Cricetulus griseus: one gene and its partners. The protein of the gene in region 2 binds, or shares a complex with, the protein of the main gene of each other region. Links are inferred from orthologs where the notes say so. Each region holds a gene or a part of one and is shown on either strand. Other genes may lie near its edges. The genes, in order: Banf1, Lmna and Zmpste24.

Evidence for each region.
Region 1: the proteins of Lmna (region 2) and Banf1 are in contact, whole or in part, in a crystal structure (PDB 6GHD), measured with the Homo sapiens proteins. The link is inferred for Cricetulus griseus from reciprocal best matches to the Homo sapiens genes LMNA and BANF1. Residues at the interface, in NP_001393912.1 of Homo sapiens: Ser431, Gln432, His433, Ala434, Arg435, Met540, Lys542; in NP_001137457.1 of Homo sapiens: Val11, Ala12, Glu13, Pro14, Glu83, Asp86, Ala87, Phe88.
Region 3: the proteins of Lmna (region 2) and Zmpste24 are in contact, whole or in part, in a crystal structure (PDB 2YPT), measured with the Homo sapiens proteins. The link is inferred for Cricetulus griseus from reciprocal best matches to the Homo sapiens genes LMNA and ZMPSTE24. Residues at the interface, in NP_001393912.1 of Homo sapiens: Cys661, Ser662, Ile663, Met664; in NP_005848.2 of Homo sapiens: Ser264, Asn265, Ala266, Tyr267, Phe268, Val332, His335, His339, Glu415, Leu438, Asn439, Asn442, His459, Arg465.

The regions. Positions count from the first base shown.
Region 1 is NC_048596.1:53,963,397-53,970,650, reverse strand, and holds Banf1 (barrier-to-autointegration factor), read right to left. Parts: upstream 4,006-7,254; 5' UTR 3,868-4,005; intron 3,255-3,867; 5' UTR 3,239-3,254; coding exon 3,116-3,238; intron 2,597-3,115; coding exon 2,450-2,596; 3' UTR 2,068-2,449; downstream 1-2,067. Other genes in the region: probable RNA-binding protein EIF1AD, read left to right, coding at 5,695-5,781, 5,911-6,019, 6,112-6,220, 6,377-6,424. UniProt on the Homo sapiens protein: Non-specific DNA-binding protein that plays key roles in mitotic nuclear reassembly, chromatin organization, DNA damage response, gene expression and intrinsic immunity against foreign DNA.
Region 2 is NW_023276806.1:66,023,664-66,030,960, reverse strand, and holds the end of Lmna (lamin), read right to left. Parts: intron 7,155-7,297; coding exon 7,029-7,154; intron 6,801-7,028; coding exon 6,630-6,800; intron 6,455-6,629; coding exon 6,329-6,454; intron 5,178-6,328; coding exon 4,957-5,177; intron 4,868-4,956; coding exon 4,645-4,867; intron 4,026-4,644; coding exon 3,918-4,025; intron 3,822-3,917; coding exon 3,702-3,821; intron 3,307-3,701; coding exon 3,217-3,306; intron 2,514-3,216; coding exon 2,247-2,513; intron 1,985-2,246; coding exon 1,958-1,984; downstream 1-1,957.
Region 3 is NC_048595.1:31,100,106-31,106,752, reverse strand, and holds the end of Zmpste24 (CAAX prenyl protease 1 homolog), read right to left. Parts: intron 3,657-6,647; coding exon 3,432-3,656; 3' UTR 1,768-3,431; downstream 1-1,767. UniProt on the Homo sapiens protein: Transmembrane metalloprotease whose catalytic activity is critical for processing lamin A/LMNA on the inner nuclear membrane and clearing clogged translocons on the endoplasmic reticulum.

The DNA of each region.
Region 1 (7,254 bases), on a different chromosome or scaffold from region 2:
ACTTCACTTACTGACGGTCTCTCACTGGACCTGAAACTGTTTCAGCCAGACTGGCTGGCCAGTGGACACCTTGAATCCTCTTCTCTATAACAATGGGGTGATGGTGTTATGGGTATGTGCAGCCATTCCCATTTTTATGTGGGTGCTATGGATTTGAACTCAGGTCCTCTTGCTTTCACAGTGTTTATTCTCTTAGCCATCTCCACAGACCACTTTCTTTTGGAGATAGAATCTCATGAACCCAAGGCTGGCCTGGAAGTTGCTTTGTAGCCAAGAATGAATGACCTTATATCCTTATACCTCCCAGCTATGATTTCAGAGGTGGTTACCACCACACTACCAACTGAGCCATATCCCAGACATTTTTTTCTTTTTTGGTTGTTCAAGACAGGGTTTCTCTGTGGCTTTGGAGGCTGTCCTGGAACTAGCCCTTGTAGACCAGGCTGGTCTTGAACTCACAGAGATCCACCTGCCTCTGCCTCCCGACTGCTGGGATTAAAGGTGTAAGCCACCAGTGCCTGGCCCCAGACATTTTCTTGACAGCAGCTGTAGTATGTGTTCTGGGTGAGGATTTTATTAATAAAAATACTCCCACCCACTCTGTGATCATTCCTTTACTCGGGTTTTAGATTAAGTTTCTAGTATTAATGCAGACCATCTTATGAACATTCTCTTCACTGTGAGACCATGGAAATTTTCTCTTGCCGTGCCCACTCTTGTACTGTCATCCTTGCTTTCCTGGACATTAAACATGCAGAAAAGCATTTCGTTTCTATACGTCACTGCTCAATGACACTTTTAGTTGAAGAAATGAACACCAAGCAGGCTGAGTGTTAAACAGCATTGTACCTTGTCCCCACAACCCTCATCCACATGAGGAAACTGAGGCTTAGAGAGCATGGGTAACATGACATAGGACACAGTCTCCCAAATTACAGTCTGAGGGCTGCCAAGGCCCAGCCTGTATGAGTCCCAACGCTAGAGAGGCCATCTATTCCGGACTGATGTCTTTGGGGCTGTAATCGGAACCATCCTAACAGCCCTGGCTCCTTCCCTGAGTGGGAGAGTGTGGACCTGGGGAAGCTAATTACCAAAGGATGAGACACAGACATCTTGTCATCTCAGAAGGGCTCTCAGTCCATGCTGGAGACTGGAGTCCACCATTTATTCAAACATCCTCTTAAATAGCTTTCCAACCACGGGAGTGATATCAGAAGACATCTATTATCATGTATAAAGATGATATTTCCTTTAATCCTAGAGGCACCCCTAAAACTGTACATCCTCAGTCCTCACTAGCCTTTCACCAGTCCCTAGGCACTGTATAGTAGCCCTCAGAATAGGTGTGGGCCCACCCGGGGCCTATGTCTGTTGTTATGCAAACTAGGAGACATTCTCCACTGAGGCCAAACCATCTGCTAGCAACCAGTTGGACATCTAAAAGACATGTGAGATTCGAGCTCCTGGGATAGAGTTTGAGGCCTGTATCTGAAATACCATAATTGATATTTCAGGCCCCTGACAGAGGGCCAAAGGTCTTCACCTCTCTGAAATAATTAAAATGCTTACAAAGATGTTAGTTTCAGGCCAGTTCACGATATGAGCTTGAAAACAACAGGACTGGAATTTAATTTTCAAGTTTAACTATTTCCTTTCATGTCTATGATAGCTGGGCAAACAGCAAAAGTACCACCCATTCTTCCCAGAGGCTACAAGAGCACATGACATGATGACTGTCAGGTGAACTCTTACCCACATCCCACCCACCCTCTTCCTGGTACCTGACTCCTACTAACTTTTCCACCAGGTGCTGCCTGAATCAAATGTTGACATCTAGAAGCCTACAGCCTACCTGGCTCCCAGGAAGAAATCAACCCACAGTCTGTCCCACATTATTTAGGATTGGGACACTAGGGCACCTGCCCAAGTCCCACATGGCTAGGGTGGTTCCCTCTTGGGAGGGGAAAAAGAAGCCACCAGTTTCGGTCTGCACTGATAAGATATGTTCAGTCCCTGGGGAAGACATAACTCCCAGCGCACCTGCTTTCCAACACACAACACCAATCATGAAGGCCACTGACTTTATTAGTCTAAAAATCTTTGTAAGGGCGGTAACTATTTTCGACAAAAAAGAAAAAAACAAAAAAAAGAGCCAAAGGACATCCAACAGATCGTGAATGGAGGGAGAAAAGGGCTAGGAATCCATTGGGGAAAGTTAACTGTTGCCATGGAACTGCAGGGGGAGAGGAGAAAGGCATGCAAGGGCAAGAATCCTAAAAAGGTTGAAACGCTGAGGGGAGAGAACTCCCAAAAGACCCTGGAGTACATAGGAGGTGAGTGTGACAACAGTAATCTTTCCCTTCACGGAGGACAGGGAGGAGCCCCACCCGGCTTCAGACTCTGGAGACTCAATATTGTGGCTGGGGGGCTGAGGAGTCCCCAGAGTACATTACAAGAAGGCATCACACCATTCTCGAAGGCACCCAAAACAGTCCCGGGACTGCTTGGCATTGGCACCACACGTGTCCTTCAGCCATTCTCTGAAGAGGTCTTCATCTTTCTTTAGCACCAGAAACTGGCCAAGGACCACATAAGCCTATAAAACAGGAAGGGCATACAGCTAAGTGCCTTGTGAGCAAAGAGCAACCTGAAGGGGCCAGATCTCTGAAGCTAGGCAAGTCAGCTGATAAGCACTTGAGAGGGCAAGGCCATTTTGTTTTGGTTGTTTTGTTTAAGACAGGGTCTTGCTTTGTTGACTAGACTGGCATTAAACTAGATGAGAATCTGCTTGCCTCAATCTCACAAGTGCTGGGGTCATAGGGAGGACCCACTATACCTAGTTTCATCACCTTTGTGGCATTGAAAACACTCAAAGGGTAGGACACAGTAGGGCACACCTTTAATCCCAGCACTTGTGAGACAGAGATCCTGTCTCCAAAACAACAACAAAAATGACTTTGCCTCCCCAGATGCCCCCAAACCACTTCAAATTATCTACCACTGTCCGTGCCCTCCCCGTACCCCTACTTTTCCTAACTCCCAATTTTTTTGCTTGGAATCATCTGTTGCCAACTTTCACTCCTACCCCTCCCTGGCATCTGTGGCCACCCCACACCTTGTCAAAGCCCCTTTCCTCCAGCTTCTTGCCCAGGACTTCACCAATCCCGGCCAGGCTCCCCACTGGCTTTTCCCCCATGGGCTCTGCCACGAAGTCACGGTGCTTTTGGGAGGTTGTCATCTTGATCAGGTTTAACCTGGGAATCCCAAAAAAAGGCAGGTTAGGGCTGAAGACCACAACTCCCAAGGGCAACCTCCTAGGTCAGCTATTGTGGCTGCTTCCTCGATTCCCCCTCATCTCACACCTGAGAAAATTGGGGGCCAGGGAAAGTCTTTCCCCCGCTATTACATCCTGAAATCTCCACTTTCTGTGGGCCCTGGGATTTGGTAATGAGCTTGCACTAACAAGTGGCGCACGTAGAGAAAGACTCACAGCCTCAGCAGCCAGGGCCCGCCCTGAAGCTGTCACTCTTGGTGACCTTGGCCAGGCAAACACTGACCCCGACCGGAGCTACCACGTGGTAGAAATAGCAGCAAAAAGAGGGGCTCGTTACCCTCGCCGCCCTCCACAGGCCAACAGGCGCCGCGCACCGGCTCCCGCAGCCCGCCGGAGCCCACGCCTCGCGGCTCCCAGGCCCCGCCCCGGACGCGCCGCCCCGCCTCCTCCACGCGCCGCGGCTCGCACGCGCCGCGGCTCCCACGCTCCGCGCACCGCCCCTCCCGCAAGGCCAGGCTGGTCCGCTGCAGAGACGCGCCTCAGCCACGGGCGCTCCTCTCCCTCCCGCCTCCGCCGCCTAGCCGGAGCCTTACTTCGCCGCTCACGCTCACCGGCAGCTCCGGCTCTCGTAACGGCTCCTCCCGCCACTCGGCAGCTCCAGCCGATACCTCAAGTTGCTAGAACGTTCTTCAACTTCCGCTTCCGGGTCGTGTCAGGAGCCGCCTTTAAAAAAAAAATACCCGAATTGGGCACGTCTAGCCACAGAGAGCCATAGAGTTGAGGCGCAACCGCTAACTGCGGAGCCCACAGAGGTCGCTGTTTTCCGGTCCCTCACAGGAAGCCGCGCTGCTTTCTATGGTCGTGTTTCTCCGGCCCCGCTTCCCATCTATGAGACCGAGGCCTCCGAGGAGAATACTGTTATCTTTTTCTTGCCCAGCACCTGGAACTTAAAGACTTAGGTGGCCTGACTTGGTCGAGGGAAGACTAAAGGAACGGACAAAGAAGGGGCGGGGCATCCGGAGGGCTACTGAGAGCCCCGGAAGTGCAATTCTCGCGGGTTCCTCAGAGTCAGGTCTATCTGAAGCCGGCTGACGGCAGCTGGGAACACCGGTGGTCTGAGGCCAGGCGTCCAAACCGGCGCGACCGTCGTGACCACCTGCCAGTCGCATTTCTTTGCTTTTGTTGACTCCGTCTTGAAGTGAGTCGTAGACGAGCTGCGTTCAGCGTCTACCTGGAAAACGTAGCTTGCTTGTGTAACGCCGAGCGGGTGAGTGCTGTGGGCGGCTCTTTTCTCGAAGGGTTTTTCGGCTTGAAGCGCTGCGGTGGTGGCCGAGTCAGTCTACACCATGAGTGTTAGGAGGACGAGCATCTGTTGTATGGCTGACCTACACTTGGGGGTGTTAAAGCATGTGGAGGAAAGTAGTTTACTCAAACTTCCCCAAAGACGTTGTCAGCCCGGGCGGTGGTGGCGTAAGCATTTAATCCCAGCACTCGGGAGGCAGATGTAGTCAGATCTCTGTGAGTTCGAGACCACCCTGGTCTACAAGAGCTAGTTCCAGGATAGGCTCCAAAGCTACACAGAGAAATCCTGTTTCGGAAAAAACAAACAAAAGGTTGTCAGAATGATCGGCCTGGGAGGTGCGTATGGTTTCATCGTCACGTCAGTACTTATTTACATTTTTTTTGTTAGTTATTGAGAGGATATCTCGCTACGTAGACCAGACTGGCCTCCATATGCTTTCGTCTACCTCTGTGGTTTGGGATTAGAGTCTTGAGATTTAAGGCTTGAGCCATCCCCCTTTCTTCCAAGTAAGACTATAAGACATGTTTCCTGGTTTCTTTTACTGTGTGTGGGTGTTACAGGTGTCCTTGGTGGCCAGAAGAGGGCATTGGATTCCCCTAGAATTGGAGTTAGAGATGGTTGTGAACCAACTGATGTGGGTGCTGGGTCCTGAGACATCTCTCCGGCCCTTAAACGTCATGTTTGCTTCATTTTTGAGACAGGGTTTCACTATGTAGACCAGGCTGACCTAGAACGCAACAAATATCTGCATGCCTCTGCATACCAAGTGCTAGGAATAAAGGCATACACCAGCATCTGGCTAAACACGTGCCTTGTTTTTTAGTGATTTTTTTTTTTATGTTTATCAGTGTTTTTACCTGCATGTATGTCTCAAAATGAGGGTGTTGGAGGTAGGGTCAGTTGTAGCTTCTGTGAGTGCTGGGAACCATACCTAGATTCTCTACAAGAGCAGCAAGTCGCCAGTCCTGTAAAGCTCTTGTTTTTAACAGGGCAAGGTGGCACTTCTCTTATAAGGCTGCTTCTCCTGAGAGCAGTCCTGGCTTCTAAGACTGCCATCCACATAACTCTGGAAGAGCTGACGTTGTCTGCGTCCTAACAACCCTGGACAGAACCCAGCATGTCTCAGGCCACCAAGAGAAAACACGTGGTGCAGGAGGTGCTGGGAGAGCACATGGTGCCCTCAGACCAACAGCAGATAGTGAAGGTGAGAGCATGGGTCTCAGCTTTTCTCTACGCCCACCGGACCCCTGGGATGTGGGAAGGGCTCAGTGCAGGTCAGTGTGTGCTTGATCTAACTGGTGATGTGCCTAATTCTTGATCTTTCCTGCACCAGGTCCTGAGGACTCCCGGCAACAATCTGCATGAGGTAGAGACGGCACAAGGGCAGCGCTTCCTGGTGAGCATGCCCTCCAAATACCGAAAGAACATCTGGATCAAAAGAGGTTAGAGGCATCCCTGTACAGTACAGAACCATGACCTTGATTCTTGATTTTCTCCTTCACATGGGAATGCCTTTATCTTTTGTCACTTACAGGGGACTTCCTCATTGTTGACCCTATTGAAGAGGGAGAGAAAGTGAAGGCTGAGATATCTTTTGTGCTCTGCAAGAACCATGTCCGTTCTCTGCAGAAGGAGGGCCACTGGTAGGATAATTTCTAGCTTCTAGGTGTGGTAACATCTTAGCTATGGAATGGGGTAGGGGTGGTGAGGTTATGCCATCCCAAGAGGACATTTGGAAACAGCTATTTTGCTAAAAGGTTTCTCTTCACTCTCTGACCTGGATCTTCTCTTTGTCACAGGCCTGAGGCCTTCTCTGAGGTAGCTGAGAAACAAAACAGTATGAACAGGTGAGGAGCAAGCCCCAGCCCAGGGAAGACAAAAATACAATTTCATACCTTGGTGCCTCAAGGAGAAAGGTGATCCTGCTTTTCTGTTGAGAACTCTAACATACACAGTAGAGTGGATAGTTATGGGTATAGCTTAAAGGCCAAGTTAAAATACTGGCTTTGCTACTAAATAGGCAAGTGACTTTAGGTACAGTATTTAATATCTTCACACCACTGGGTGTGGTAGTATATACCTGTAATTCCGGCAATTACAAGGTGGAAGCAGGGGTTTGAACCAGCATTGTGTACATGAATCAGGTTCAAAGCCAGCCTGATGGATATCTGTGAGTTCGAGACCAGCCTGGTCTACAAGAGCTAGTTCCAGGACAGCCTCCAAATTGAGACAGAGAAACGTTGTTTTGAAAAACCCCCCAAAAAGAAAGGAAACCCCCCCCAAAAAAAGCCAGCCTGAGCTACATGAAATCTTTTCTCAAAAACAAGAGTTTACCTAAGAGACAGGATTATGCAAAGTAAAAAAGCTAATGCTTATGCAATTGCTTAGTGCAACAGTTCTCATCTGGGGGTCTCGGCCCTTTTGGGGGGTTGCATATCAGATATCCTGCATATCAGACATTTACATCATGATTCATAACAGTAGCAAAATTACAGTTACTGAGTAACAAATAATTTTGTGTTTGGTCACCGCCACAAGAGGAACTGTGTTAAGGGGTCAAAGCATTAGGAAGGTCATGAACCACTGGCTTAGTGAGTCAGCTGTTATGAAGTGTGAGCTCACTGTGTGTCAGTGATGCTAGTAGAGCTGTTGGTTCCTTATTGAAACCAAATGTGGT
Region 2 (7,297 bases):
CACCTCTGGAATACTGAGATTAGAGGCACACAACACTGTATCTAGCTCACTCATTTCTTTAAAAGGGTTTGTTTAATTAGGGTATATGGGGGGTGCATTTTCAAAGCAGCCGCTCTTGGAGACCTGAAGATGGGTTAGATGCCCTAAGGTTGGAGTTATAGGCAGTTGTGAGCCAACAGATAAGAGTGCTGGGAACCAAACTCGGGTCCTCTGCAAAAGCCGTACAAGTTCTTACCTTCTGAGTCATCTTTTCAGCCCTCAATCACTTTTGACTGAATGCCCAGAATGATGTTGTTTCGAGACAGGGTTTCTCTGTGGCTCTAGAGGCTGTCCTGGAACTAGCTCTTGTAGACCAGGCTGGTCTCAAACTCACAGAGATCCACCTGCCTCTGCCTCCTGACATTTTGTTTTGGAAACAGGTCTCATGTATCCCAGGCTAGTAGTCTCAAACTCCCCAGACTTTTCCTTCCTTCCTTTTTTTAAAAATATTTATTTATTTATTTAGTGACAGAGTCTCTAGATGACCTGGAACTCACTATGTAGACCAGGCTGGCCTTGAGCTTGCAGCAGTCCTCCTGCCCCTGCTTCCTAGGTGTTGAAATTACAGGTGTGAGCCACACCTGGCTTTTCTAACCCTGAGAATATCTCAACCTACCAAGGCAATCGAAGCATCCAGAGTGCTGGGACTACAGGTTTGGCCTTTTGCAAGAGAAGTTCTGCTGCTCCTACCCAGCTACTCTGCCCTCTATCTGTGTTCCTGTGTCTTCTGGTTCACACATGAGGGCCCCATTTAGAAGGTGCTGGACCAGTGCTGGGCAGATGAAGGTTAGGAAGGAAAAGCCTCTCCTTCGGCCCACATGTGCCCGTCTTCACAGATGCCCCTTCACATCTTCCCGTGGCCCTAGACAAGGGTGAGGCTGGGTAGCACTGAATATGCAGGGACCTGTGTGTGCATGTGTGTGCATGTGTGTGCCCCTCAAAACACACGTGACACCCAACAAAGAGAGACAGCACAGCATCCAGGATGGAAACAGCTAGTGTATTGATTTGGAGGGAGAGCAGAGGTGCAGATGGGAAATGGGGTGAAGGGCTCCTTAGTGTTTACCGTAACCACCAATCATCACACCCTCTACTCTACTCTACTCACAGGCCTCCCTTGTGGCAGGGCCGCAGCCGGCTCTCGCCCTTTGCAGCAGCCTACTTTCTCACTCTTCCCACTTGATTTTGCCTTCCAGTGACTGGACAGGGCCCACCAGGCTCTAAAGCTGGGAAAAGGCAGGCTCAGACTGGCCTTCCCTCCTCCTCCCACCTCACTCCCATCTTTGTCTAAATAAAATATAGAAAAAGCAAGCATGGCAGGGGTGCCTGGGAGAATCCACTGACCCCAGGCTAGGGAGGGGCAGGAAGAGTATAAGGCAGGCAGAGGAGGCTCAGCCAAGTGCAGTGGAACCAGGAGGGGCTTGACCTCTCTCAGCCATCCCCTCTGCACCCCCTTTCTCTGCAGCCGGCGTGGCAGTGGGCCAGCTGTCTGGAGGAGGCTGATGAAGAGAACTCCACGCCTGCCTCTCAGGCACCATGTCACAGGGTGCTGGGATAAGCGCAAGGCCAAGGCAGCAGGACAAAAACTAGCCGTTATAAAAGCAGTCCTTTCCCTGGGCTCCTTGGAGAAAGAAGCCCATTGATTTTAAGGCAGATACAGGGAAAGTATGGGAAGGACTTAGGATTGAGATAGAGACTTTTTTTTTTGCTTGTGTTTTTCCTTCAGTATAAAACCACTGTAGAAAATAACTTCTCTTAGAAAAAAAAATAGAAGAAGAAGAAAAAAAACCCAAAGGCAGGAAATAAATTTTTTCTTTGGCTTCAGGCCTGCTCCCATTAGGTGCAGAGCAGGAGGTGGGCATGAGGTGAGGTGGGAGCAGGTGGCCTCTGGCCCCACCCCTGCCTGGCAGGTCCCAGATTACATGATGCTGCAGTTCTGGGAGCTCTAAGAGAGAAGAGAATGCAGAGATGTGAGCGAGCACAGTGGCTGGCCCATCCTTTCCCTCCCTGACCCCAAAGGGGTGTGTGTCCCCCCAACCCTCACCCTCTGGCTCTGGCCCTGCCCTCAAGTCTGGGGTTCAGACAGGAGGGGCAGGGTGTAAGAGGGGCTACAAGGAGGAGGGTCCCACTCCCGTGGCCTGCCCTGCCCTGCTGCTTAGTGAGCAGTGTCCTGCTGTAGGGGTAGATGCAGATCGATGATGACTTACCTGGGTCCGGGGACTGGAGTTGCCCAGGAGGTAGGAGCGGGTGACTAGGCTGTCCCCGAAGCTGCCACCCCCACTGCCCCCCACACTGCGGTAGCTTCGAGTGACTGTGACACTGGAGGCAGAAGAGCCAGAGGAGATGGATCCGCCCACCTGGGCTCCTGAGCCACTGGCAGCCTTGTCGGCAGGCTGCCCACAAGTCCCACACAGCACGGTGCGTGAGCGCAGGTTGTACTCAGCGGGGTCCCCCGAGCTGCTGCAGTGGGAGCCCTGGGAAGGGAGACAAGGCTCAGGAGGGACAGTGCGTCTGGGACTGACTGCTTAGGACCAGGCTCTGGGCTCCTATAGTTTCCTGGCCATTGGGCAGGAAGATGACCTCTGTACCCAGACAGCTGGAGTGAATAGGGACTTGGGAGGCCTGTGGCTAGGAGGAAGGACATGACAGGGGAAAATGGCCAGGAAGGCTTCGAGATGGAGAGGTGTGGCTTTCACACTGTCCTGAATCCTAGGATCTCACAGGGAAATTGGGAGGGAGATCAGAGATGGAGATATTTAATTTGTGAGGGAGGGGACAGGAATGAGAGAAATCACTGTTGCCGGGAAATAAGGGGAACGTGAGAAGAAGCATGCAGCAGATGAAGAAGAGACAGCAGAGGAATGCATGCAGGGAGGGGAGAGGCAGGGCTGGGGCCATCTCTGTCCTCCCATCCCCTTCCCAGGAGACAAATCCAGATCCTTGTCCACTGCCACCGTGGAACAGTCCTTGGCACCAGAAAGTTCCCACTCCCTTCCTTACCAGACACCTGGGTTCCCTGTTCAAGGTAGAGGGAGGAGAGAGAAGAAAGGCCAGGGCAGCAAGTGGCATTCCAAAACATTCTTTAATGAAAAGACCTTTGGCATAGAGGTGGGGGAGCTGCCCTAGGCTGGTAGGGCTACCCATGTGGGCTGGGTCTCAGCGGCGGCCGCCACTCACGTGGTGGTGATGGAGCAGTTCATCTCCATCCTCATCCTCATCGTCCTCAACCATGGTCACTGAGCGCACCAGCTTGCGCATGGCCACTTCCTATGGGAACATAGGCCCAGGCCCAAGAGTCAGGGGGTGGGGGCCATGCAGCCTGTCTACCCATAGTACCTTCCCAGAACCCTCTATAACCACCTAGAACCTTCCCAGGCTCTGCCCTAACCGGCTGTTTGCTCTGACCTCTAACACTGGAGTCAAGGAGTGTGCTTGTGCACACATATAGAAAGGACACCCCTGGGAGATCAGCTCTCTTTAGGCCGAGTCTGCAGCTAACAACATTCACTGGCTGATTTCCACCCATTACCCTGCTGGGGAGACTTCTAGCTTGCTTACTGGGTGGGCACTTGGAACGTGATTCAAGGTTGCATTGGGTTGAGGGCAGCTGACTCTCATTATGGCCACCAGGGGGAGCCTGGTCCAGGCTGCAACATACTCACTTCTCCAGTGGAGTTGATGAGAGCTGTACGAAGGCTGTTCCCACAGCCCCAGGTGTTCTGTGCCTTCCACACCAAGTCAGTAGGGGGGCTATGGGTGGCCCCAGCTCCTGCAGCCCAGATCTGGGAAAAGACAGTTTAAGAAGTGTGTTTATTCTTAACGCTCCTGTCCAGAGGCCAACTTCTCCACTCCAGAATCCCAAACACCCTTCCACTCACCGTCACCACCTGCCCAGCCTTTAGAGTGAACTTTGGTGGGAAGCGATATGTCATCAAGGGGTCATCACCATTCTGACGCTTGATCTGCCAGTTTCCCATGGACTGGTCCTGCCAGTGAGGGAGGGAGGAGAACGGGAGACTCAACCCGGTACTTTTTTTTTTTTCTATTTTTTCATTTAAATTAGAAACAAGCTTGTTTTACATGTCAATCCCAGTTCCTTCTAACTCCCCTGCCCCCCACTAACTCCCTAACCCATCCCCTTTCTGCTCCCCGGGGAGGATGAGGCCTTCCATGGGGGGGGGGGGAGAATCTTCAAAGTCTGTCTTCAACCTGGTACTTATCTCACAAAAGAGCCGGGGTAGGCCAGATGCCATAGTGTACACCTGTAGTCCCAGCTACTACAGATTTTGGTACTGAGGCATGGGGACAGGGGGAATAGCTTGATCCAAAAAATAAAAAATAAAAAATAACAACAACAACAAAAACCAGGTCTGCCACCACCATCTCTGGTATTCAAACCTACTAGCCTCTCTACCCTATCCCTCAAGGGTCCTACTGTGGCTGTGTGAACATGTATACTGTGCCACACACACTGGTATCTTCCATCTTCCCAACAATTTTAGAGATGTAGGGACTGTCACACTCCAAATTCCCAGAGAGATGGATGCTCCATGAGAACCAATGTCGCCCAGCTATTGAATGCAAGACTCTGATCCTGAGGCCCACCTCGTTGGACTTGTTGCGCAGCCGCACAAACTTTCCCTCCTCATCTACTTCCTCCACAGCCACCCGCCCGCTAGTGCGAGCGTGCTGTGAGAAGCTGCTCCGGCTCTCAGTGGACTCCAGCTTGCGCTTTTTGGTGACGCTGCCCCCACCCTGCGATTGGGATGAGTGAGAAGAGGTGCGGCCACGGCTGCGCTGCGAGGTAGGGCTGGGGGACAGGCGTAGCCTGGGAAGGTGGAGACAAGGTGGGGGGTTAGTCATGGTAGTTGCAGTCCAGAGGCTCCTGCCAACGTCTTTCGACCCCTCCTGGCTCACCTCTCCTCCTCGCCCTCCAGCAGCTTTCTATAGGCATGGATCTCCATGTCCAGGGCCAGCTTGATGTCCAGCAACTCCTGATACTCATCGAGCTGCTGCTGCATCCTCGCCCGCATCTCGGCCATCTCTCGCTCTTTTTCAGCCAGCAGCCGCCGGCTAGTATCCCGCTCTCGAGCCAGGGAGTCCTCCAGGTCACGCAGCTTTGCCTCCTTGGCTGCCAACTGGGATGGGTGGGAAAGGCAAGGTGTGATGAGCGCCCAAGGGCCAAAAGTAATGAAGAAGGGGGGGCAGGATCTGTGGGCTCTCCTTAGAAACACCATGGCAAGCCAGGTGGTGGTGCCGCATGCCTTTAATCCCAGCACACGGGAGGCAGAGGCAGGAGGATCTCTGTGAGTTTGAGGCCAGCCTGGTCTACACAGTGAGTTCCAGGACAGCCAAGGTTACACAAAGATCCTGTCTCGAAAGAAAAAAAAAAGGGGGGGGGCACCATGGCCTTATCTAGTAACCAGGAAGCTCTATCTAACATCTAACTGAAACCTCTCCTTCTGAGGCTAAACCCCCTCCCCCCCATCTCCTTTTGCCACAAATAGCACAGCCATCTAAAATAATATTACTTGCAATATCTCACACAGCAGTGTTATGACAGATCTGTGAATTGGGGAGGACAAGAGTGTTCACCATTTTCCATTCTTCTCTTTCTTCTTATATTTTAAGCATTATTTTTTATTTGATTTTGGTTTGGGTTTTTGTTGTTGTTTTTTATTTTTGTTTTTTTACTAGGTTAGTCTTGAACTCATAGAGATCCACCTCTCTATGCCTCCAAGTGCTGGAATTAAAATTGTGCACCACCACTGCCTGGCTTTTCTGTTTTTGAGACAGGGTCTCATGTAGTCTGGGCTGGTCTCAAACTTGCTATAAAGCTGAGGATGACCTTGAATCCCTGATATTACAGCCTGGGTTGAAAGGCAGGTACCACCATGCCAGGTTCTATGTGGTGCTGGGGATAGAACCAGGGCTGCATGCATGATAAGCAAGCATTCTACCAACTAAGCCACTAGCCCAGCCCAAGGTAATCTCCATTTTCAAATACGGAGAAAAAAGAAGCACCTGTTTACCACGCCCGAGGCCTCCTCGGGTTTAATCCCCAGCACACACAGTAAACAGGAAAAACCTTTCATACAAAAGGTAAAAAAGAGGCTCTGAGGACCAAGGCAAGCTGAAGGGGGATGCTGGAACACAGTAGACATGAGACTCCAAACCATAGTGTGTAGTCCTGCGGTCCCTTTTCCCCTCTACTCCCCCTCTTCACAGTGGGCTTCTGCAGGATCTGCTTAGCCCAGCGCCCTGGTGGAAAGGGTAAACGGGGCGTCACCTGCTTCTGGAGCTGGCTGAGCTGGGCTGAGAGGCTGTCGATGCGGATTCGGGACTGCTGGAGCTCCTCATGGGCGGCCCCCACCAGGTTGCTGTTTCTCTCAGCAGACTGCCTGGCATTATCCAGCTGTATGGAGCACACAGTATTAGAACAGGAACCTGGAGGGATAGAGCTAGTGACCTGAGGATGGTGTCACTGGCTCAATCTCCCTGCTCCCATCTACCCACCCCCAAGGCACACCCAGCATGGATAGGACAGGCATTGAGGCAGCACCAGGGAGAGGACAGGGTGAGGCCAGCACCTTGGCAGAGTATGTCTTCTCTAGCTCCTTCTTGTACTGCTCCACCTGGTCCTCATGCTGGGCCCTCAGATCCTGCAAGGCATCGGCCAGCCGGCTCTCAAACTCACGCTGCTTCCCGTTATCAATCTCCACGAGCCGGGTCTCATGCCGGCGCTTGGTCTCACGCAGCTCCTAAAAGGGTTCAAGACACAGGAATGTACATCAGAATGGCTCCTTAGAAGCTGAGACCCAGAAGTCCGTGCTCCCTGCCTTGCCTTAACCCTACAGGCCACAGGCAGCCCTCCATCAGCCTGGGATCTAGGTACACGCAGACTTCAGGCAGGGGAGTTTGGCCTGAGCCCTGAGCCCAATGTCCAGCTGTTGCTAATCAGCTCTCGGCCTGTACAGCATGGTGCTCACCTCACTATAGATGTTCTTCTGGAAGTCCAGTTCCTCCTTCAGAGTCTGCAGCCTGTTCTCAGCATCCACTCGCCGAAGCATCTCATCCTGAAGTTGCTTCTTAGCCTCACCTAGGGCTGCCTCGAGCTGAGAGGAAGAAAGCACAGGTCATGTAGAGGACATGTCAAAGAAGCTGAGTGATAGCTGTTCCCAGGGAGAATGGGTCTAGAGGCAGTGAAGGCCTTCAGTGCCCACTAGGGGAAGAATGTCCACATTCTCACACTAACTAC
Region 3 (6,647 bases), on a different chromosome or scaffold from region 2:
TGTGGTTGCTGGGATTTGAACTCATGACCTCTGGAAGAGCAGCCAGTCCTCATTAACCTCTGAGCCAACTCTCCAGCCCCCACCAACCCACTTCTAATACAGAAACCAGGGCAATCCTGTAAAACTAAGCCACATCATGTCCTAAGCCTTCATGCCTAACACTTCCCACACAACCAAGTAAACTTTTAAAACCAGGCGTGGCACAGCTCGCCTTTGATCCCAGAACTGGGGGTGGGGGGTGGGGGTGGGGAGGCAGAGGTAGGCAGATCACTGTGAGTTTGAGTCCGGCCAGAGAAACCCTGACTCAAAAAACAAAAACCAAAAAAATCTTAAAACCCCTCCATCTCAAAGCATTGGGTTCAAACCCAGGGCCTTGTGCATCCTAGGCAAGTACTCTAATTGAGCCACATCCCCAGCCCCCAAAGTCTGAATTCTCACAGCAGCAACAAGGCGCAGTAAAATCTGACCTCCCTGTTTCACTTCGCAACCCCTCTAGCACCCTTCCCACCCTCTGGCCTTCTGGTATTACCTGTTTCAAGGCTTTTATACCCATAGTTTCCCTTTTGAATGATGCCTCCAGTTACCTACAATGCCCTGTCACTGGGCTCCATTATCGATTTTTCTATGCACACATTGTTAGTATTCAGGCATTTGTACTGGCCTGTCCTTGGAGTCCTGACCGGATATGCCCTCAGCTGCGGCCACTAAGAGCACCACCTGTACACATTCACTGCGTTCCCTTTTAAAAGGGCCCTGCCCAGTGGACCTCTGTGAGTTCAAGGCCAGCCTGGTCTCCAGCGCGAGTGCCAGGATAGGCTCCAAAGCTACACAGAGAAACCCTGTCTCGAAAACAAACAAACAAACAAACAAACAAACCAAAACAATCCCTTTCCCCTATATATAAAAAAAAAAAAACACCCTCTGTTTGAACTCTGCCACATGGTGTCTTTTTCATTGGAACTGCTTTTTTAAAAAATTACAACACATATACCTATGATAAAGTTTAGCTTCTAAATTAATCATAGTGAGAGATTAACAGTAACTAATAAAACAGTTATGACAACACATTGTATGTAGGGTTTGGACTACGGCTCAACTTATAGAGTACTTCGACTCTGGGTTCAATTTCCTGCATCACATAAACATGGTGGCACATGCTGGCCACCATGTAATGGCACCTGCAATTCCAGCACTCAGGAGGTAGAGTCAAGATCAAGTTCAAGGTCATCCTCAACTACCAGATAGGTTTGAGACCAACCTGGGATGCAGGAGACCGTATCCAAGAAAGTTTCTCTTTAACAACCTGACAAATGTTACTAGTATTTCTGTAATGGCCAGAAAGGAAAACTACAGGAAGAAGGGACTAGTGTATCTTACTGTTGGCTATTATTGAGGATCAGAGGTGAGCTCTGACTCACACAGGGCAGTTATCTGTATAGGCAATCCTGGTTTCTTAGGCTTTAGAATACACTTGGGTATTTCCTGATTAATCTGGATGATACAGAGGATCCAAAGGGTTACAACAATAAAAACCAAGCCTAAGAGAATCTGAGCTTACAATAATGGAGATAGGGTAATTCCAAGGCTGCTTCTGAGGGAGTGTCAGCAAGAACTGGTGATCTATATCGGGAAAGGAACAGAGGCAGCATGAGCACTGGTATCACTCAGACTCCGGGCTGTTCACAGGATCCACAGACAGCACTGTTCCTGTAGGCAATCAACACATCTGGGTGACGTGACGCGAAAATCACAACACAAAACCCAACATAAGGACATAAATCTGCATTGGCAATTTTTAATGTCTCACTTGTGCAGAACTGAAATGTATATTTAAAGGCACAGAAGGAAGGAAAGGCAATTATCTGAGCATGAAGTCATAGGGAAGGATGCTGGAGAGAAACCGTGGGCTGCTCTGCTTAGCTGTAGGACATAAACAATGCAGTGCTGAACTAGAGCTCTGAGGCTATTATGGTCTGAGGGAAGGCACCACTCACTCACATGTCATAGTGTATAGTCATCACACGATGGAGTGAATGCCCAGGACATGGACAGGCATTTGAAGTGGTCAAGCACACACCTCTTACCACTGGAAATCTTTCATGAGGCTATTTTTGAAAGGAAATATCTGCCTGCCTACCAAGGCTTATAATTTAAAAAATATAATCTGGTCTAATTATATCTTATGAATAAAAACATCACAAAAATGAAAGCAGAGACTCTGTCCTTGAAAAAAGATAACGTGTACTTTTTCCTGTAATAAGAGAATCACGAATATCCCACCTTTACATCTTTTCAGATGTCATCTCTTCTTTTTCTCCTATTCTGCCATATTTAACATCGGGAATGTGTACAACATGGCAACTTCTGCTAAGTGAAAGGATGTACTGTCAGTTGCTGGGGGAAACAAGACTGACAAAAGGCTACTTTACCTCTAACAAGGCCAGGTGGAAGGTAAGGTAAAGAGCTGAAACTGACTTTCTTTTCCCTTTCTCTTTTCTTTGTTCAAACAGGGTCTCATTATGTAGCCCTTGCTGACCTCAGCTCACAGATCCATCTGCCTTTGCCTCAAGCACTGGGATTAAAGGTAAGTGCTACCAAACCTGGCTTAAAATTAAGACTTTCTTAAAAGATTTCTAATTTCAAGCACTATTAATTCCTAAGCTGGGTGTGGTGGCTCACATCTGCAATCCCAGCATTTGGAAGGCCGAGGAAGGAGGCCTGGTAAGAGAGTTCTAGGCAACCCTAGGCTAAAGAATAAACTTGGGGCCAATAAGGGCTAAAATGAGACCTTATCTCAAAAAAAGAAGGAAGTGAGGGGAGGAAGGAGGGAGGGAAGAAGAAGGGAGAGGATTCCTGATTGGTGTGTAGCAAGAAAGGAACAGAAAGCTTTGTGACTACAACAGTACAGTGTAGACTAACAACGTCCATTTCAGTAGCATTAGCCTCACTAATTTGTACTTTTCTTTCTTATTTAAAACACTGATTGGCCAAGTTAAATCATAACATCATGAAGGTAAAAACAAACTCCATGTAGGTACAAGCACAATGATTGGGGGCCATCCTTTCTGATTCTGTCTTGAAGAAACTACCTGGAGGTGATGTTTCCTCCCTAAACACACAGCCTGAATACCCTATACGCAGACTCCACAGTAAGGAAATAAAACGAGCTGTGCATTGCCTTAAGTAATTTTACAAACTGATGGTAAACCAATGTTAGATAAGACTATGTTTTAAAAATATTAAGCCTCAAATTTCTATCCAGTATTTTAAGAAATGGATTATTACGATCATTTTTGAAATGAGATAGTAAATGTATTTAAATCTGGACTTTTATGTACTTAATCATTTTTCTTAAAAAATTAAAAACATCAAGAGCTGGAACATGCTGCCAGGACAGATATAACCGGAAGTGTGTCCAGACACCAAGCGGCTCAGTCTTGCTTTGTGTCTTTCAAAGCCTGAAGCCTCTCTAGTAGTGGAGGGTGTGAATAGTGCCACGTTGAAAACAACCAGTCAGAAACTGGGAATCCCAGGTTATCCTTGTTTAGCTTGATCAAAGCAGAGTATAAGTCTTTAGCCATCCCAAGTTTCTTGGCAAAAGCATCGGCCTGAAACTCAAATCTGCGGCTCAGGACTGTCAGGCAGAAAGACAAAACCTGCAGAAGAAAAGAAAAGGGTTTAGCCACCTGGCACCTTCATTGTCACCTAAGTCTTCATGAGCCAGGCTGTGGAGGAAGGCTGGTCAGGACATGAGAAAGGCAAGGCAAGCCAAACCTATTAGGAGGCTATGACTTGGGGATGGGGGTGTGTGGAATGTCAAACTGAGCTTCCCCCACTTCAAGCAAACAGACCAGAAATGGGTATATACCCTTATTAGAAAGGAGCTTCTGGGAAAGTGTCATGTGCAAAGGCTTCATATTCTTTAGGAACTTCTCCCTGCTACTGTACAGATCAGGATGTGAATTCAGCCCAGCGTTCCAGAATCACTTCTCTGTTCACTCTCTCTCTCTCTCTCTCTCTCTCTCTCTCTCTCTCTCTCTCTCTCTCTCTCTCTCTCTCTCTCTCTCTTCTGCCCCCACATCCCAAATGCTAGGACCACAGGAATCCACAACTACATCTGGAGGGTCTTTTTCAAATACTTATTTTGTGCTTGTGTTTTGCCTGGTGCCCAAACCGGTCAGAAGAGGGCTTCAAGACTTCTTTGAACTGGAGTTACAGATGGCTATGAGTCACCATGTGGTTGCTGGGAACTAAACCCAGGGCCTCTGCAAGGGCAGCCAGTGCTCTTAACCACTAAGCCACCTCTCCAGTCCCACATGATCATTTTTAATATTCTTAATCATTTATCTATCTTTAATAAGTCTTCACTAAGATTATTCTAAAATATATGACTGAGCCTCTGACAATAGTTTTAAATCTTGTTTTGTTATTGACGTGGTCTCTCCCTGTAGCTGGCCTCACACTCAAAACTGAATGTTTTCTAAGTGGCTATGGTAATATCTCCAGAGTAAGTTCACAATTTCTAAAGACCACATGAGAGGAAAATTCTTCATGGAAAAATATAAACTCTGAGGGATTAAAAGGTCTTTATAATAGCACTTGGGAGGCAGAGGCAGGTGGAGCTCTGAGTTGGGGGCTAGCCTAGTCTACAGAGTGAGTCCAGGACAGCCAGGGCTACACAGAGAAACCCTGAACTGAAAACCAAAGTCTTTGCATACACAAGCATAGTAGATTGAATGACATGATAAATATACATATACATATACATATACATATACATATACACATTGGGGGCTGGGAGATAGCTCCGTGGTAAAGTACTTGCTGTGCAAGCCTGAGGACCCAACTTTGAATTCACAGCCAGCACTCATGGACAAGCCAAGTGTACATCAGCAGCCCCAGTGCTAGGGAGTGGGGACCTCAGGGGCTTGCTAGGCAGCCAGGTTCAGTGACACAGGAAGATCCCTGATATCAATTTCTGGCCTTGGAGAGCAACAGAGGAAGTTAAACTTTGGTCTCCACATGGGCAAGCATACTTATGTATACAACACACATATACATTCTCTCTGTCTCTCTCTCTCCCTCCGTCCCTCCCCCCCTTTAGTAAATATGAATTTCCTAATAAAGTGTGTGAGTCTCTGTTACCATCCAATTCTGCATGAATGTCTTTCAAATCTTGAATGTACATTTTGGTTTGGCTATCTGAGTCATACGTGGTGATGTGTAGCTGTCACTCTAGCTACCAAAGAGACTCAGGCAGGAGTATGTGGCTGTCTCAAGGAGGGAAAGAAGGAAAGGGGAGAGGAGACAACCCCTCCTCCAACCTTTATTCAGGCTCTAGTAACCTTATCTCAGCACTCGCCTAGCACTTGTGAGGCCCTGTGTTCAGCTTTCAAAACCATAAAAACAAAACAAAACAGGTGGTGGTGATGCTTGCCTGTAACCCCGGCACGCAGGAGGCAGAAGCAGGCAGATCTCTGTAGGCCAGCCTGGTCTACAGAACAAGCTCCAGGACAGCCGGGGATACACAGTAGAACTCTGCCTTGAAAAACAAAACAACGAAAATCCCTCATTCACATCCCTCACCTCACCTCTATTTTAAGAACACCAGTCAATCAGTCTTTGATTTTTGCTATAATGCATAAATAAAATATAAGCAAATTAGTAACCACTTGTTTGTTTTTCAAGACAGGGTTTCTTTGTATAGTCTTGGCTGTCTTGGAACTAGCTCTGTAGACCAGGTTAGCTTCGAAATCACAGAGATCCACCTGCCTCTGCCTCCAGAGTGCTGGAATTAAGACTGTGCAACTCCACATGAATTAAGATTGTGCAAGCCCAGAATAACCACCTGTTTTGCTGTAGGTTTCTAATTTCTTCTTTCTTTCTTTCTTTCTTTCTTTCTTTCTTTCTTTCTTTCTTTCTTTCTTTCTTTCTTTCTTTCCGTTCCTTCATTCCTTCGTTCTTTGTTTCTTATTGAGGCCGGGTTTCTCTGCATAGCTCTAGCTATTCTGGAACTCAATCTATAGACCAGGCTGGCCTTGAACTCATAGAGATCCAGCTGCCTCTTCCTCCCTGAGTGCTGGGATGAAAAATACGTATTTTACTTTTAATTTTGTGTATGTATGTGGGGTGGGTGTGGGGGGCATGAGTACAGGTGCCTGCAGATGCTGGATGTACCTGATCTAAGTTCTAGGAATTGAACTCTGGGTGCTCTGGAAGAGCAGCACTAACTTGTAACCACTGAGCTAGCCCTCCAATTTTTTTCTTTTTCTTGAAAGGGCAATCCTAGGAAAGTATCTCTCCTATTTTAAGCCCCGTAAATGCTGATACTGCATCCAAGAAGTCCAGGCTAAACATCCAGGGCCTCTGGAATGTATCTCCTGGGCAACTCAAGGCTTTTAACATGATATTGGTACCTCTGAGGACTAATCACATTGCAAACCACTCTAATACCTAGTATTTATTTTGGTGATTTTTGAAGTGAATTCAACTATTAAGTAAGGAGACAGAATAAAACAAAAAAATCCCCTGAGTAGTCCAACATCAGCATCATCGCTGCCTGTTGGGAGCACAGCACGAAGGTCCCTGTGCCCACAGATCTCCAGAGAAACCAGGAATGTTACCCACATAGGACTGTCTTTCCAATG